Linked DNA regions of Oreochromis niloticus. The protein of the gene in region 2 interacts with the protein of the main gene of each other region in a pairwise test. Links are inferred from orthologs where the notes say so. Each region holds a gene or a part of one and is shown on either strand. Other genes may lie near its edges.

Evidence for each region.
Region 1: the proteins of irf9 (region 2) and irf1b interact in a two-hybrid assay, tested with the Homo sapiens proteins (2 studies listed by BioGRID and IntAct). The link is inferred for Oreochromis niloticus from reciprocal best matches to the Homo sapiens genes IRF9 and IRF1.

Annotation. Positions count from the first base shown.
Region 1 is NC_031975.2:21,938,404-21,946,597, reverse strand, and holds the start of irf1b (interferon regulatory factor 1b), read left to right. Parts: upstream 1-4,757; 5' UTR 4,758-4,910; intron 4,911-5,519; 5' UTR 5,520-5,525; coding exon 5,526-5,612; intron 5,613-6,092; coding exon 6,093-6,192; intron 6,193-6,290; coding exon 6,291-6,458; intron 6,459-6,601; coding exon 6,602-6,642; intron 6,643-6,862; coding exon 6,863-6,989; intron 6,990-7,087; coding exon 7,088-7,189; intron 7,190-7,319; coding exon 7,320-7,348; intron 7,349-7,536; coding exon 7,537-7,660; intron 7,661-7,888; coding exon 7,889-7,998; 3' UTR 7,999-8,194. UniProt on the Homo sapiens protein: Transcriptional regulator which displays a remarkable functional diversity in the regulation of cellular responses.
Region 2 is NC_031974.2:8,878,281-8,886,571, reverse strand, and holds the start of irf9 (interferon regulatory factor 9), read left to right. Parts: upstream 1-5,184; 5' UTR 5,185-5,336; intron 5,337-5,776; 5' UTR 5,777-5,795; coding exon 5,796-5,852; intron 5,853-7,168; coding exon 7,169-7,291; intron 7,292-7,380; coding exon 7,381-7,561; intron 7,562-8,291. Other genes in the region: E3 ubiquitin-protein ligase RNF31, read left to right, coding at 627-674.

The sequences.
Region 1 (8,194 bases), on a different chromosome or scaffold from region 2:
AGGGTTGGGAGTGAGGGGAATAAGAAGAGAGAGCATAAACTCAACTATGGCAGCAAGAAGAGAAGAAAAGATTTAATTACATGCAGTGGTGGCATAAAAACACATGAGTAGTGAAAAGAGATGAGAGGAGAATTGCTCAGTGCATCACTGGAAGTTCCCCAGCAGTCTGAGCATTTAGCCACATAACTAATGGATAGTTCAGGGTCACCTGATTCAGCCCCAACCAGAAGCTTTAAAATAAAAGAGTTAGGTTTATTCATAAAAGCAGACAGGGTGTCTGCCTCCCAATTCTGGACTGAATTCTGGAGTTTACAGGGAGTCAATGGTAAAAAGTTAATATGGGAGACAGATGATCTCCCTTTCTGCCAGTACGCTCTGTGATTCATGCTTTGGATTAACTGAAGGCTTTCGAGGGATAATTCAGAATAGAAATAATGAATGCATGAACTAACTTGTCACCATTACTCTAAGGCAGGACATTCTAACTTTGGCAATACCATTCAGAAAGAAATAAAGAAGAAAGAAGGGAGTCCTATATATTTGTTTGCACATTGAACAACATATCGTGATCAAAATTGGCTCCAAGGTTCCTCACATTGCTGCTGGAGGCCAAGGTGATGCCATCCAGACAAAGCATCTGGGTAGAAAACACGTTTCTATGTTTTTTAGGGCTAACCTGAGCTTTATCACAATCAAGAAAACAGAATTATCAGCATTTAACGCTGCACTGGGGTCTAGCGGTACAAGCACAGACACAAGTACAATGTCAGACACCATAAGAATATTATTACCGTCCTTCACTAGTGCTGTTTCTGTGCAATAATAACCTCTAAATCTTGAGTGAAACTCTTCTAATAATCAGTTCCTCAGCAAATGATTTTGGAAACTAAAGGAAACTAAAGGTTGGAAACAATGGACAAAGAAGGGCAAGAGGTCTAGGCAGGGTGGCACATACCTCTTCGGTGAAGTACGGTGTGTGAAAATCCCCCAAATGTAAATGAAGTCAACAAAATATCAACAAAAAATTGTTTATTGTATCTCTTCTAAGAAAACAAAGGCTATAAGAGGCTTTTTGAATAAAAAACAATTAGTTTTTACCAGGGGGGGCCCTACAGCAGGGGGGTAGTTGCCCCCCTTGCCCCCCTATAGATCCACCCCTGGTTGGAAATCAGTCTGGAGTTGGCTATGATGGCTGAATTAAGTACAGAATTTTAAAGTAATGGTTTATTTACAGCCACTTTCAAAACCTGTGGTATATAACCTATGTTAGAAGATTATTACATAGATAATACACAGCAAAAAAAAGTCTAGTGGGGCTCCCTTGTCATGTTTCTGAAAATGATCAAGTTTGGATCAGCTCAACATGAGAGTGGCCTCCCAACACAAATCTTAAGAATGTTTAGTTCATGTAACTGTTGGAGGCCCTGAAAGGCAAAACTTTTGACTATTTCACAAAAAGGGAAGGACTAGAGAAAAGTCTGAACAATGAATCCAGTGTGTCGCATAAAGACAGCTTTTCTTTCTTCCTGTCATATGACTCATAGCCCTCAAATTAATTTTGAAACATTTTAGGATGACTTGATGTCAAAAATAGGAATTCCTAGGAATTTACAGAATATACAACATTTGAAGCAGTAATATTGGGGACACCTCTGTAAGTACACTGCATTGCCAACAGAGCAAAGGCTCTGAGTACTGCTTGCATCACTTCTTATTCATTGATTTATTTTTATACCTAAACTATAATTTGAAATTCCAATTCAACTGTTGAATGGCTGCAAAGTATGATGTAACCTGTTTCTTTCAAGCAGTACAGTGACTGGCCTGATGGGGGTGCTAAACTCTATAAAGCTCCACTGTGTAAAATAGATTCAGGAGGCCTGTTTGGGTGAAACTTGAGTAGATATCCAACTTGTGTGTGACTGACCCGAGGGCTGAATTTTGGGCAGATCTTGAAAAGCCAACATGCTTCCTCATGTCTGCTGGTATAAACTGATCCTCCCTTACCAAATTGTGGCAAGATTTCTTCTTCTTATTTTCTCCCCCACTTTGATTGCCTTCTATTATATGCCTATAATACTTTAATTTGCAGGTGCTTACTAAAGTACGCAGGTGTTATCCCACTAAAAAGAACTGTGATCTGCAGGTCCTTTGGAAGGTGACTATTGGGAGTATTTGACATGAAGATTACTCATGTGAGAAAAGAAGCAGAAGAAAACAATCGCCTGAGACAAAACAGTCTTCACAGTTAAATCTTTTGACTGCAGTCAAAAGACAAGCAAACTGGATTTGCCAGTGAAACAAACACAATTATAAAAGCTGAAGGTATATAAAAAAAACTTGCACCCTCAGTTTAACATTGTGGCTAAAATTGAAGGAAGGCTTTGAATAGCTCCAGTGCAGGTAAGCTGTCAAAAGGCAAGATTAGTGACTCAAGCCTTAAGTTACATTTTCTTGCTGCATGTAGGTGACCTTAATGTCTAGACTAGCCTGGGGTAAGCACAGAGTGCAATATACTTTAGAGGAATTTGGTCAGTTGGGAGTGAAATCACACTGGATGCAGTTTGAAAGAGACAGTCAAGTGTTATAATCAGTCACTGGTGTTCGCTGAAAGCCTGTTTCAGAATTAAGGTGAGGTATAGGGGCTAGGTTGATGAACCAGGTAACTGTCACGTTGTAGTTATGTATTTTCGGATATAATGGATTTTAAATAGGAACGCACACACACGCACACACACACACACACATAAATATATACGGTTAGAAAAAATGGTTCACATCAATTGCATAATACCACTGCACAATTTTAAAGAGGATCTTTAAAAACGTAACAGTTTTTTAAAAAAATTTGTTTTCAAAGGGATTCTTTTCACTAAACTATAATGATCCTGGTGCTGGTTTTGTTTCATGCCAGCTGCAGTGAATTCCTATAATTCACCCGTTTCTTTGCACACTGGCACAAAGGCTGCCAGCCTTCGATTAAAAAAAAAGAGAAGAAGAATCGGTGGGAAAAACGGGATGATTTTCCCTCTTCCAATCCAGATCTTTGTATTCGTTTGGGAAATCCCACAGACCCCCGCTACCGGTGAAAACTCCGCGGGAAAAACTCCCTGCAATTCCCTCTCGGCTACGCGCAGGCGAGCGTCACGTCAAGCATGCGCGAGCACGCGAACTCGCCACACCACGCGGGAAGCCCCTAAATGGACAGATACATTATCTGAGCCAGACTTGATGTGTGGGATTTCCCAATTTTCCTCCAAGTGAACTCACCCCGTTACATAAAAAGACCTGCGGGGTGTAATCAGGTGCAGTTACGCTATTTTTAAGCGCCGAAATTCAGGATACAGGTTATGACTAATGATCACATTTCTATTCACTCTTTGCCAAATTTCCCTCGAAGTGCACTCACACTATTATAACTACAATGCCCTTCTGCGTGTATTTTATGCAATCAAGCTAAGAGACTGAGTGTCGATATTTACGACACACAATATGAATGATCGCCATATTTCTATTCACCCCCGCAGTTTTGTGCCCAGTGTTTCATTACGTCGAATTTCACAAATGCTTGATATGATATTACTACACACACGCGCGCGCGCGCGCACACATGCAGGATGTCTGGAAAAAAACGCTCCGCGGGTCCTGTATTTGCGGATAAACAGCTGCTGCTGCTTCCGCATCGTCCGATGCTACTCTCTTTTCCCGCTGTCAAGACAGTACAAGAGTTCACTCAGCATGACCCATATCCATGCACCCAGCAAGCCGGTATCACACTGCCCCCAGCGGCCATTGAAAATTACTACACCATTTCTTGTAAATGCCTGACTTCTCAGGCAGATCGCTGTTTATACTAAAGGGTTGGTCCCATGCACATGTTTGTCATGCCAGACTGTGGGGGAAGACTTTTGGCTTGTGGAAGACGAAAGCGTGCGCGTGTGCTTTGGAAATGAATGCACGCGCTCTCAGACCTGTTATAAGAGGCCTTTCAGTCAATTCAATAATAAACCTTCAAATGGTATTTTTCTTTTAGTTATAACAGGGTGGTAATGCGCAAATATGCAGATATGACATGTTAACTTTGCACAACCTCCAAAGCAACGTTATTATAAGAATGTGATATTATGATCAGTATAACCGTAATGCGGTGCATAACAGGACGCGATAGTATAACAAGTCGGCTGTTACGGTTTAATGTCAAATCTTAATGTGAGTAAAATATAATTTGCCATTTGCAAATATTTGCACTTTTTGCACAAAGCACTATCTGTAAGGTGAATTGCTTAAAAAGGAGGGAGTGGGGAAACAAACTCGAGTGACACATGAGTTGGGTCATTTAGTTTGATGATCTAGTCTACGTGCAGCAATCAACTGTATTCCACGCGTGTTGTTTTTAACTTCCTTCTAGCTCTCAACAGCGTGATTTCTCGGAAACGGTTCTTTTGCTGAAGCAGAGGATCACAGCGCATGCTCCAAACACACTGTAAAAAATGTCAGTCCTATTATAAGAGGACTTTCAGTCAATTCAATAAAAAAAACCTTCAAATGGTATTTTTTTTAGTTACAACAGGGTGGTAATGCGCAAATATGCAGATATGACATTAATAAAGTAGCTACTGTAAGAAACTACGAGATTATCGTCAAATAACCAATACATTTTCAAAGGCTTGATAAACACACCTCTCACTTCTTTTGTCTTCTGAGGACATTTTTTATAGCACCAAGCCTCCTGCCGGGGAATACCCGCTACTGAGCTTACAGTATATAAGTGTGCAGAGAAAGCTGTCAGTACTCACTTGTACTCAGAAAACGTTTGCAAGTGGAACACTTAAAGACGAGACGAAGCTTTTCTTAAATCAACGGGATTATTGTTGCATTCTTTTCCTCCTGGAATCAAAGCAAATTAATCTGTAAGTATAGTGATATCAATTTAACATCGCTGCTGTATTTTTTAAAGGCTAAATGATGCTATTGGGATGATTTCTTTTTAAAATAGTATCTATTATTACTGTGGGAGTCTTTCTCTCACGCTGTGTGTTTGCATCTATTTGCATGTTATTTAATTCAATGCTCACTTTCAAAGGTTTTTTATGCACATTTCAAACTCGAATTTTTAATTCTGTGACATTTTTGCTCAGCCTATGTTGAGTTGCGCTCTTTTGCTCTAAGGAATTAAGAAACTTTTTTTTAGGTGGGGAATATTCGCTTACCATTTCAGATTTTTAAACTTTTGCGCTCCAGGATTAATAAAATCACTGCATAACTGCACGAGTTATTTTCAGTTATTTTTTTACTTTTTGTTCCTTCCAACCGTTCTAAACTAAAGTTGACTGCTACACGTAAACGCCTCCCTGTGCGCGCTGATTGCCCTGGCCATGAACTCTTATGTCCCGCGCAGCCAAGAAGCAGTAGTAAATCTAAGCCGGGGCTGAGATGCGAGAGTTTATTTCCTCTTACCGCTGTGCTTCACACGCTGCATTACAGCATTTCTCTAAACACTTTCTTCTGGATTTTTTTAGGCAAACATGCCAGTGTCAAGAATGAGGATGAGGCCATGGCTGGAGAAGATGATCGACTCCAATACAATTTGGGGCCTGGCTTGGATTGACAAGGTGAGAAGCTTTCTTATCCTATTATAATACGCTGAACTGGTTCATGTAAATAGGAACTGCCTGCAAATAAGTAATGACAATTCAGAGTACAGGAATAGATATTTGGAAATCTATTTGTTGTAAGATTGACACATCTCCCCATGAGACAGGGAAGTTATTTCTGCAAAGCTGCACATGTTTTTTTTGACACTGAGTTGTCCCCTTGCTGTGCATACAGTATTTGCGTGTTACAAACATTGACCTGGTTTGAAGCACTAGCTTGGGCTGGGTCTTAGTATTGCAGTGTTACTTTGAGGCGTACTATAGTTAAAGCCACTTTGCAGCTATGCCTGTGGCACTTCAAACTGGTGAAAATAACCACGATGAGGTAGCTGAACGGAAGCTTGGTTTCTGCTTGGGAGATAACACATTGCATTCTCTCAGTAAGCGCAATTACCCACAATCCAACTTAATATATATTGATTTTTTTATATTTCTTAGGAGAAAACAATGTTTTCCATCCCCTGGAAGCATGCAGCTCGACATGGCTGGGAGGTGGACAAAGACGCATGTCTGTTCAAAGAGTGGGCCAAACACACAGGTGAGCAAACTTGAATAAGCCTGCCACCTGTTCAGAACAATTCTTCTTTACAGGCTGACAAAGTGTACTAAACTATCATGTGCCAATGCATTTTACAGGGAAATATGTGGAGGGCCAAGTTTGTGACCCCAAGACATGGAAAGCCAACTTTCGCTGTGCAATGAACTCACTGCCTGACATCGAGGAGGTGAAAGACAAAAGTATTAACAAAGGCCACCAAGCTATGCGTGTCTTCAGGATGCTGCCTGCTAGTCAAAAATCTAAAGGTGAGAAAACTGACAGGAAATGAACGTTTGTTGGGTTTTCTTTGCAAATTAACATTGGCGCTCAGTATCTTCAATTCATGTGCTCTAAAGTCTCAGTGGTGAAGAAAGTAAGTGACCATAATGTTTTTCTTTCCTCTGCACAGATAAACGGACTAAATCAAGGGAGTCAAAGGGAAGGAAGAAGGTAAATGCTATCACTGTTACTATAGCTCTAGTGACACTTGTTTTTAAATAGCATACTCAAAATATTCCTCATTTACACTGATCCAGATACTGAATGTATAGCTTTCTAAAATAATTCTACTTTGTAGCTGTGCAGGAAACAGACATACACATATGGATTTGAATGTCTCGATTTTCATTTCAAACATCCCACTTAATTTCTCTTTGATTTGTTCTTGCAGAGTTCAGTGGTTAAGATGGAAGAGAGGGAAGACAGCTACAGTGACACTCAGTCTCCCATCCCTGCACTGATGCCAGAAAGCACACAAGAAAACAGAGTTGACAGCACAGTGCAGACAGACCAGCCAGGTGAGCAAGTTTGAAAAATCTGTACTGAAAATGATAAACATTGCATTTGAATCTAAAAGTCCAAGTGTACTCAATGTGTTTGTTTGCCATTTTTGCAGATTTCTTCTTTCCATCTGACGTTCCTGAATGGTCTTCAACAGTCGAGATTGGCCCTGACTCCTTCGTCAACAGATTTCAGGTTTCACCTGATCACAGCTCCGGTAAGATGACAACACATAGCTCATACTTGCTAGACTTTGGCTTAGCTTGGAATAATTAAACTTACATAGAAACTTAAATACTCATGTGTCTTTCTGTTTCTCTCCCCTTCTCATTGCTGTGATCGTGCAGACTACGACTATCCAGAAGATATTATTGAGGTAAGCATAAGCTACAGGTCTTACCCTAGCTAGAAAGTAATATTTCATTGACAGGAATACCCATGTTTGTCTTATTCTGCTTGGTTTGGCTCATGCAATAATACCCAAAACACTAATAAGCATGTTTTGTGTTGGAAAAACTAGTTGGGCCAAATATAGCCATACTCAATCCAGTGTTACTCTTTCAGATTTGCAGAAAACTGGAGAAAGAAACTTCACACTGGATGACAACAAGCAGTTTAGACGACAGGGGGTTCCTGAGCAATGAACCATGCACCAGTCCAGGGAGCCAGTGGAGTGAGTCTTCATCAGGTAAATGTTGCTAGTTGGAGGCTGTCATGTAGCTGCTGCTTAAACACCACAGTCCATGCCAGCAATTTAAGAATTCAGTAGAATTTAGTCAACATCAATAAATATGTATAGATTTTGTTGTAGATTACATTAGCAATCAGAATAGTGCTATCAGTTTTAAGTCACATTACTCCAAAATATATTCTTTGTTGGCTTAACTGACCTTGGATTTCGCTCTTTGTTTTGCAGTCGACGAAGTAGACGACACACGGCCACAGTACACAACTCTTGCAGACATCCCAAATTCCACAGATGAATTCTGGAACAGCTTTTGCCAACAGATTCCACTTTTGCTTTAAAAAAGTAAAGGACATGACAGGACAATTCTTTTACACTGGACTTTTAAGCTCCTGAAATCTTCTCCCATCAGAGCCTTCCTCCCAGCTAAGTCACCCCTTGGCTAGGACAGCATCCCAACATCCGGACTTCTACTGTGTGTTTGATGTTTGGAAGCAGTTTGCAGAGCTACCCTCATCTCTCTCATCCCATATGTGA
Region 2 (8,291 bases):
AGGGAAGTCTGAATATGAATATGAGTGAATTAGGCTAAAATCAAGAGAAACTAAAAATAAATCAAATTTTAAAAAATTAAAATTGATTAAAACTACAAAACATCACAGTAAAATAAAAAAAAAACAAGAAAAATTAAAAACAGCTACAATAATAAAACATCCAGCATTACTTTATGTATTTAAAACATATTGATTAACCAATTAAAACCACTACAATCGTCTTTAAGTAAACTAACAGTGTGAAAAAAATTAGGAGCCACTAAAAATATTAAGACTAAATCTTGAAAAAGTTGATTTAAAAAAAACAAAACATGATCAAATATAGAATTCAAAGGTACAATAAGCTTTATCAAGTAAAAGAAAAAAACACTGCAATAAAAATATGACTCATAAAAATTCAAAACAAATTCCAACACGGACACAAAGTAACTAAAAATATCTGCTCATGGGGAGTCACACGGCATCTGTCCTTAAAAAGAAAGCAGAAATGAATTTAAGGAAACTGCCTGTCAAAGCAAGTCATAGTTTTCTTCTCCTGTTCGACGGCCACTCTTCACAGTTACCTTTACAAATAATCACTCTTTCTTTGGTTGAGATCAAGTAGCTGATTTCTGTTCTCCCCACAGAAACTGATGGAGGTTCCTCTTGGAGAAAAAGTTCCTCGAAACAAATGAAGACTTCCAGACCTTTTTTCCAGACAGATCCTCATCAGAGGAGTGTACTATGAAGCAAGCTCAACAAAGCCAGGCTTTCTTTGCTTTAGCTGGCTTGACAGAACTTAAAATCCCAGTCAGACATAACTGCTGCTTCTCAACCTTCTCTGTTAATGGAAGCTTTCTGATCCGGGTTCACATTAAAGGTGGTGTATAACGCATTATTTCACAAAATGATTGAATGCCATTTACGTCAATCAGAGGAGGTCACTGAGAGAGATGAACGATATATTTTAAAAGAAAATGAAGCCAAAGATGAGTGCTGCAGAAAGCTTTTAACCTTGCCTAAAAATCTCAGTTTTAACGTGACAGTAGCAGATGAGAGCTTCTTCTCGATTGATCAAACCAGACAGTTTGTAGCATGTGACCGATCGCAGACTGAAAACTGGCAGCACAGCAGGGGATAATACAAAGGAAACTAAAGCTGTAATCTTAGAGAAATATGAACAGTTTAAACACAGAAAACAGAATCAGCAATGCTCCATCATTGGGATACAGGAGGACCTGACATGATTACAGCTAAATATTCCATTAATTTAACAGGCTTTGTTGTTTAATTTAGACTGAATACAGAAATTCTCCAGGAAACAGAGAAAAAAAAAAAAGCTACAAATAAAGTTTCTCCTAAAAATCTGCATTTCATGATTGATGCTTATCATTTAGACTGTCACTACAAACGCTGAGCTCCATGGGGAATGGATTCACTGTTTCAGGTGATTTCATATGTGCTTTGGTGTAGCTGCAGTGTAAATTACCATGGCGATGTAGCCCTGTAAGAAGGAAACCAAGGTTTAAACCTGACGTTAACTCCATAAGCCGAGTCCTGCTTTGATAGAACAGGACCAGGTTGCCTTAAGCATTAGTTATGGTGATCTAGCAGGTTAAACTGAGCCTGTGGTCATCAAGGTAGAGCAGGTAGGTGTGTGTGTGTGTGTGTGTGTGTGTGTGTGTGTGTGTGTGTGTGTGTGTGTGTGTGTGTGTGTTAGAATAAAAGCGCTGTATGAATGTGTGTGCTTGAAGTGAATGAGGCTTGTAGTAAAAAGCACTTTGAGGGTTCACGTTCATTTAAGAGATCCACCTTCATCGCAGTGAAAACTCTGACTTAAAGCTCGATATGCCCAACTAACTGATTTATCTCTCTTTGTAGTACACCTCTCTAGATTCAGACTGTTTTTAATTAGCATGTTTATTTTATTTTAAATGTATTTGAAATTTGTTGTTTTATTTTGAAGGAGACAAACCTTTGGAATGGGTCTAAAAAATCATTTATTTGTGATTTTCTTTTGCCCTCACGTTTTGTGCCTTTTAGGTAGCAGTGATGCACAAATTTTAAGATTTGAAAGGAAATAATTTGTGGTGTGGAGCTGGCTCTTGATGTAATAAACTCGGTTTGATTTATCCAGTTAAAAAAATGTAAATGTAAAAGTCAGTTCAGAATAAATGTATGTTTATTAACCAAAATGTAATTTTTTTTCAGTCTTTAACATTTTGTCTGAGAGTTTCTAGTTTTTTCTGCTTTATAAAAAGTGGGTGGATATATGAGGTTGAACATCATCTCAATAAATAGAATTATTTTAACGAAAGTGGAGTTACTGATGTCTGTTATGTTTTGACAGATTTTGTGGTGTTTTCATTAATACATTCTTCTGAAGTTACTTTAGCCAAATGTGACTTTTAAAGTGTTGTTTTTAATGAGAATTTAAACGTTACATTTGTAAACAACAAGATTACAGTTTACAGTCTAAAGAAATGATACAAACTTGTGTAAGGAGACGAGATTTCCTCTGTTTCGTGAATGCATCAGCACTGTTACTTACATAGAAACCCTGTAAGCAAAAGCAAAACTGTTATCAAATAAAACATTTAATGAATTCTGTATCAAAGAAAAAAGTCCAAGCTAAGACTTAAAGTTAACACAAAAATAATTTTTTAAATTTAAAATGTAAAGTACGTCTCATGTTACTTATTATTCTGTGATTGTATATCAGTGAGATTCAGATGCTTTATCTTAAGTAGCCCATAAGGATAACCATTCAGAGGGTTTAAATAACCTTTAATTGAATTTAAACACACTACAGTGAATTGATTGTTTGGAGATTTGGTATTTTCTTATTAAAAGTGCCTGAAAATAAGGAAAAAAGGCACAAGAATAAAGAATAAATGAATCATTCAGTCAAAAAAACATTGAACGTTTATACTATCTCTGCTGTTAGTATATATATATATATATCTATATATATATATATATATATATATATATATATATATATATATATATATATAGATATATAGATATATATATAGATATATAGATATATATATAGATATATAGATAGATATATAGATAGATATATAGATAGATAGATATATATATATAGATATATATATATAGATATATATATATAGATATATATATATAGATATAGATATAGATAGATATATATCTATATAGATATATATCTATATCTATATATCTATATATAGATATAGATATCTATATATAGATATAGATATCTATATATAGATATAGATATCTATATATAGATATAGATATCTATATCTATATATAGATATCTATATCTATATATAGATATATAGATATAGATATATATCTATATATAGATATATAGATATATCTATATGTATTGATCAGGTGTAACATTATGATCACCTACTTAATATTGTGTTGGTCCCCCTGTTGCTGCCAACTGTTCGCTCCATGGATCGGACTTGTTTGTCCAGCACGTCCCATAGATAACTGATTGGATCGAGATCCGGGAAATTTGGAAGTCGAGTCAACACTTCAAACTTGTTGCTGTGCTTCTCAAACCATTCCTGAACCATTTTTTGCTTTGTAGCAGGGTGTGTTACAATGCTGAAAGAGACCACAGCCATCGGGGAATACTGTTTCCATGATGATTGTGGATGTACATGACCCTAAATACTGCTTAGCTAGGTGGCAAATGTCAAAATAACATTCACTTTGTTGGCAGGACACAAAGGATTCCCAGCAGAACATTTCCTGAGGAATCGCACTGCCTCTGCCAAAAGATGACTCATTGGCCTGTAATCTGCCAAAAACATGTCAAACATATGCCTTATGAATATTATCACATCATTTTGACCCAGAAAGAATATTCCTATTACAAGGTGGAAACTTACGCTTATGGTGACTAAAGTTAAAACAAGATCTAAGAACCTTGTATACCTCTTGTATAACTGTTTGACTGTCTGGACAAGTTACACAAAAATCAATCTAAATATACACTCACTGGACATTTTATTAGGTACAACTTGCCAGTAATTTGCTAATACCTAATTTTTCATGGTGTAGATTCAACAAACATGCCTCAGAGACTTTAGTCCTTACAAGATAGCATCACAGCTGCTGCAGCTTTCTCGGTGGCTGTGATGTGAATCTCCTGTTCCACCACATACCAAAGGTGCTCTAATGCAGCGGTCCCCAACCTTTTTTGCGTCACGGACCGGTTTATGCCCGACAATATTTTCATGGACCGGCCTTTAAGGTGTCGCGGATAAATACAACAAAATAAAACTAGTACCGGTACCGAAAAAAAGAAGATTTATTCATAACACACGTGAAAAGACCCAGGAAAACCGAGTTAACGATAAAAACGATAACAAAATAACGCTGAAAACCGATAAAAACCCTGAAAAACACAAATTTCACACCTGAGCCTCAACTCTCGTGGCCCGGTACCAAACGATTCACGGACCGGTACCGGTCCGAGGCCCGGGGGTTGGGGACCACTGCTCTAATGGACTGAGGTCTGGTGCATGTGGAGGTCACTGGGTAGAGTGAACTTATTGTCATGTACAAGAAACCAGCTTGAGATGATCTGACATTTGTGACATGGTATGTTACTTAGGTCATAAACATTTTCATCCAGATAACTGCTGCTCACTGGATATTTTCCCTTCTTTGGACCATTATCTGTAAGCACTAGAGATGGTTATGTTATAAAATCCCATCAGATGAGCAGTTTCTGAAATACTCAGATTACCCCCCCCCGCCCAATACACTAACAATCATGCCACATTCAAAGTCACTTAAATCACCTTTCTTTATTGATCTGATGCTTGGTTTGAACTTCAGCAGGTTGTCTTGGCTGTGTCTACATGCCCAAATGCACTGAGCTGCTGCCACGTGATTGGCTGATTGGATATTTGCGTTACAAAGCAGTTGAACAGGTGTTCCTGGCTGGTTAGTTCATTTCCAGCTCATATATCTGCTTTATTTGTCATGCAATAATGAGGAACAAGGCCTTACCTGGCCATGAAACTGCTTCTCACTTATTGTCCAATTACTTTAGAGCCTTTGAATGTCATTCTTAAACAGATAATGGAATACTTTTTCCCATCCCCTTGAATGAAAGGTGAAAGTCTGCACTTCAGTCACATCTCCACTGTCTCCTCTGTGCACATACTCAGGACCCTGTGTCTCTGTGTGTGCTCACTTTCGCCCCCTGGTGTCAGACCTGCGGAGGGTTTCTCTAAAACCACGTGACTTCGGGGAAAAGGAGCGCCTTCACAGACTGAGCCGCAGAGCTGAAGAGGAGAAGGCAGTCAGTCCGCAGGCACCGCGGAGGAAACACAACCGAGGTAAACGAAACTTAAATCAACTTCCTTAATTTAACACCTTAGCGTCTATATTTGATTTTTTATAAATATAACATGCGGCGGTGGGAGGATGTTTGCAGCTGCTTTGTTGTTTCCAGTCCAGACTCCATTTAAAAAAGACCTAATTTTAGAAAGTTTTTGTCTTTCTTTTCTTTTTTAATGTGTGTCGGCTCTGTTTAAAGACCCGGCTTGAACACGAGGCTTGAACTTGGCTTTTTACGCGAAAGCAAATCGACCTTTATTCATATTTTTACATATTTCTTATGTCTAATATTGGATGTTTTTGATGTGCTCAGAGTGAAGCTGTGCTATTATTAAAAATGTGAGGCGGGGTGGGTGTAGGAGGGCATGTCGGGGCAGTTGATCGAAGTTGTTTGTGTTGATGTTTTGCCGCTGGCCTTGAAACTTTGCGGTGTTTTCAGCATTTTTAAAGAAGCAGCGATGGCAGCTGGGAGAATGCGTTCCACTCGCAGACTGCGCTCCTGGATCGTCGAACAGGTGTGTGGCTGTGTATGTGTGTGTGCATAAGTGTGAGAGGGTAAGGACAAATGAAAGAGGGGGGGGGACAGGGAGAGGAAAGGGGTGATTGAGAGGTCACTAACAAACATATATTCATAACTATGGGGCTGAAAATGACACCAGCAAAAGTTTAACTTTTCTCTTGTTAGAAAATCAGCTGCAATTGCATAATCTGCTTAAGCAAATTGTAGGTCAGCTGTGGAAAAATGCACTTTTCTGTTTCTACTATCATATAAATGTGTTATAGGTGGTTATTGCAACTTTTTGTTTTTATGAAACAGTTTGAACCCTGAATTATTAACTAAAGTCATAAACTGAATATCAGGAAATAACTGATTTTGACTTTAGGCCACAAAATTCTGTGTATTGTGTAGAAGTGATATCCGCTGAGGTTGAGCTCAGCTGCACTTTCAACAAGTTTATATTTTTTAGATTAGTTGGTTAAGAAATAAACAGATATTGCTCCAATTAAGTGAATGTGTTCTGCTTTTTCTTGTTTTCTGACATATATAAGTGAGATCAGTGCAAGTGCAAGCTTCACTGTAGCTCTAAACACTCAGTTTCAGGCAGTTTCTTCCACTCTTGGAGCTTTATGAGGTCACAGAGAGCAAATCAGGAGAGAGTTAGCCTGGAGAGAGCTAAAACAGCTAGTTTCAGACAGGATGAATTAATGGGGCACATCAAGGCCTGATATGAGATAAATAAGGATTATTCTGAACTGTTAATGATGCAAAGCTACTTTAGTAGAGTCCAGTAATAAAAACGCTCAGTTCAATTTTATTTATATAGTGCCAAATCACAACATCAGTCGCCTCATGTTGGTTATATATGGTTGATATATTGTAAGGTAAAGACCCCACAATAGTACAGAGACAACGACAAATAAATAAATAACTCCTTTTGAGCAAGCACTTGGCAACAGTGGGAAGAAAAAACTCCCTTTTAACAGGAAGAGCCCCCCACCAGAACCAGGCTGAAGAAGGGGCAGGATCTGCTGTGACTGATTGAGGGTGATGAAGAAGAGACAGGGCAAATTCCGTGACACAAAAAAACCAATACAATTGTCAGATTTGATCATTTCAGAACACTAAAGTTTGCATATTTTTGCTTTAAAGGTGGATGATGTTGTGTTTTCTGCAGTATTAGTCAATCTAAAAGTGTTTTTTCTACAAAGACATGCAGAAGAGGTGGCTGGTTAGCAGCCCTGATTTATGTCTGCAGGTATCCAGGTTCAGGTGAAATTCAGGAAATCTATAAGCTTCTTAAACTTTGCCGTGTTTTTTGGTTTGTTTCAGGTCAGCAGTGGGAAATATCCGGGACTGGTGTGGGATGACGAGGCCAAAACCATGTTCCGCATCCCCTGGAAGCATGCGGGGAAACAGGACTTCCGCAAAGACGAAGATGCTGCGATCTTCAAGGTAGCTCTTGAAATTCTCAAGATTTGCTTTAAATGCCACAAATCCAGTCTGCTTTAAATCTCTGAGATCGCCATCGCTGTTCTCCCCAGGCGTGGGCAGAGTTCAAGGGGAAGCTGACAGACGGGGGCCAGGACAACCCGGCCGCTTGGAAGACCCGTCTGCGCTGCGCCCTCAACAAGAGTCCTGAGTTTAAGGAGGTGATGGACCGAGCCCAGCTGGACATCTCAGAACCATACAAGGTGTACCGCCTGGTCCCCATCAGCGAGCAAGGTGAGACTTGAAGTACCTACTCAGCGCGCTCTGGCTAGGTCGTAGTACAACTTAGTTATACCTCAGCAGCAAAGCATTTGACTTACCTCAAACCTGATAACCTCAATGACAAAATCAGTCTCGCGGTCACACGAAGGTGGTTAAGTCAACCTAAAACTTCCCAGTGGGTCACATGAGGGCACACGAGGCAGGACAGACGTGTGACAGCAATTACAAAAACATACATGTGAAGCCTAGGCGAGGCCCGAATATGCAGTGTAAAGACGCTGAATTCATTAATGTAACCATGGATGTTTTTCTGTAAGAGCTCTGATAGTTGTTGTTCACACTTCACTGGCTCAGATGTCCTCCATCTCAAGACATCTGTATTTCATTAAGAATAACTGCTGTTTAAGATTTATTAGCTCACAGTCTAACACGAACAGCCCGGTTTCACTCCTGATGGCAGAACAATGCAGGCACACCAGCGCACAAGGACCCGTTGTGGTGGGAATTCAAAGCAGCACCATAAATTATACCGCTGCCTTGTTTTACGAAACCAGGAACAAAGTACAATATTTGAAAACTCTCAGTAGGTTTAAGACACAATACAGCCTGAGCAACAAAGCAGGCTGGGAGTGTGCATGAGAGGGAGAGTGTAGCGTGAAAAAGTCTTGTATATATGCTAACGAAGGTCAGTAAGACTGGAAAAGCTGGCAAAAATGTTGAATGTTAAAGTTCTTGGTATCCC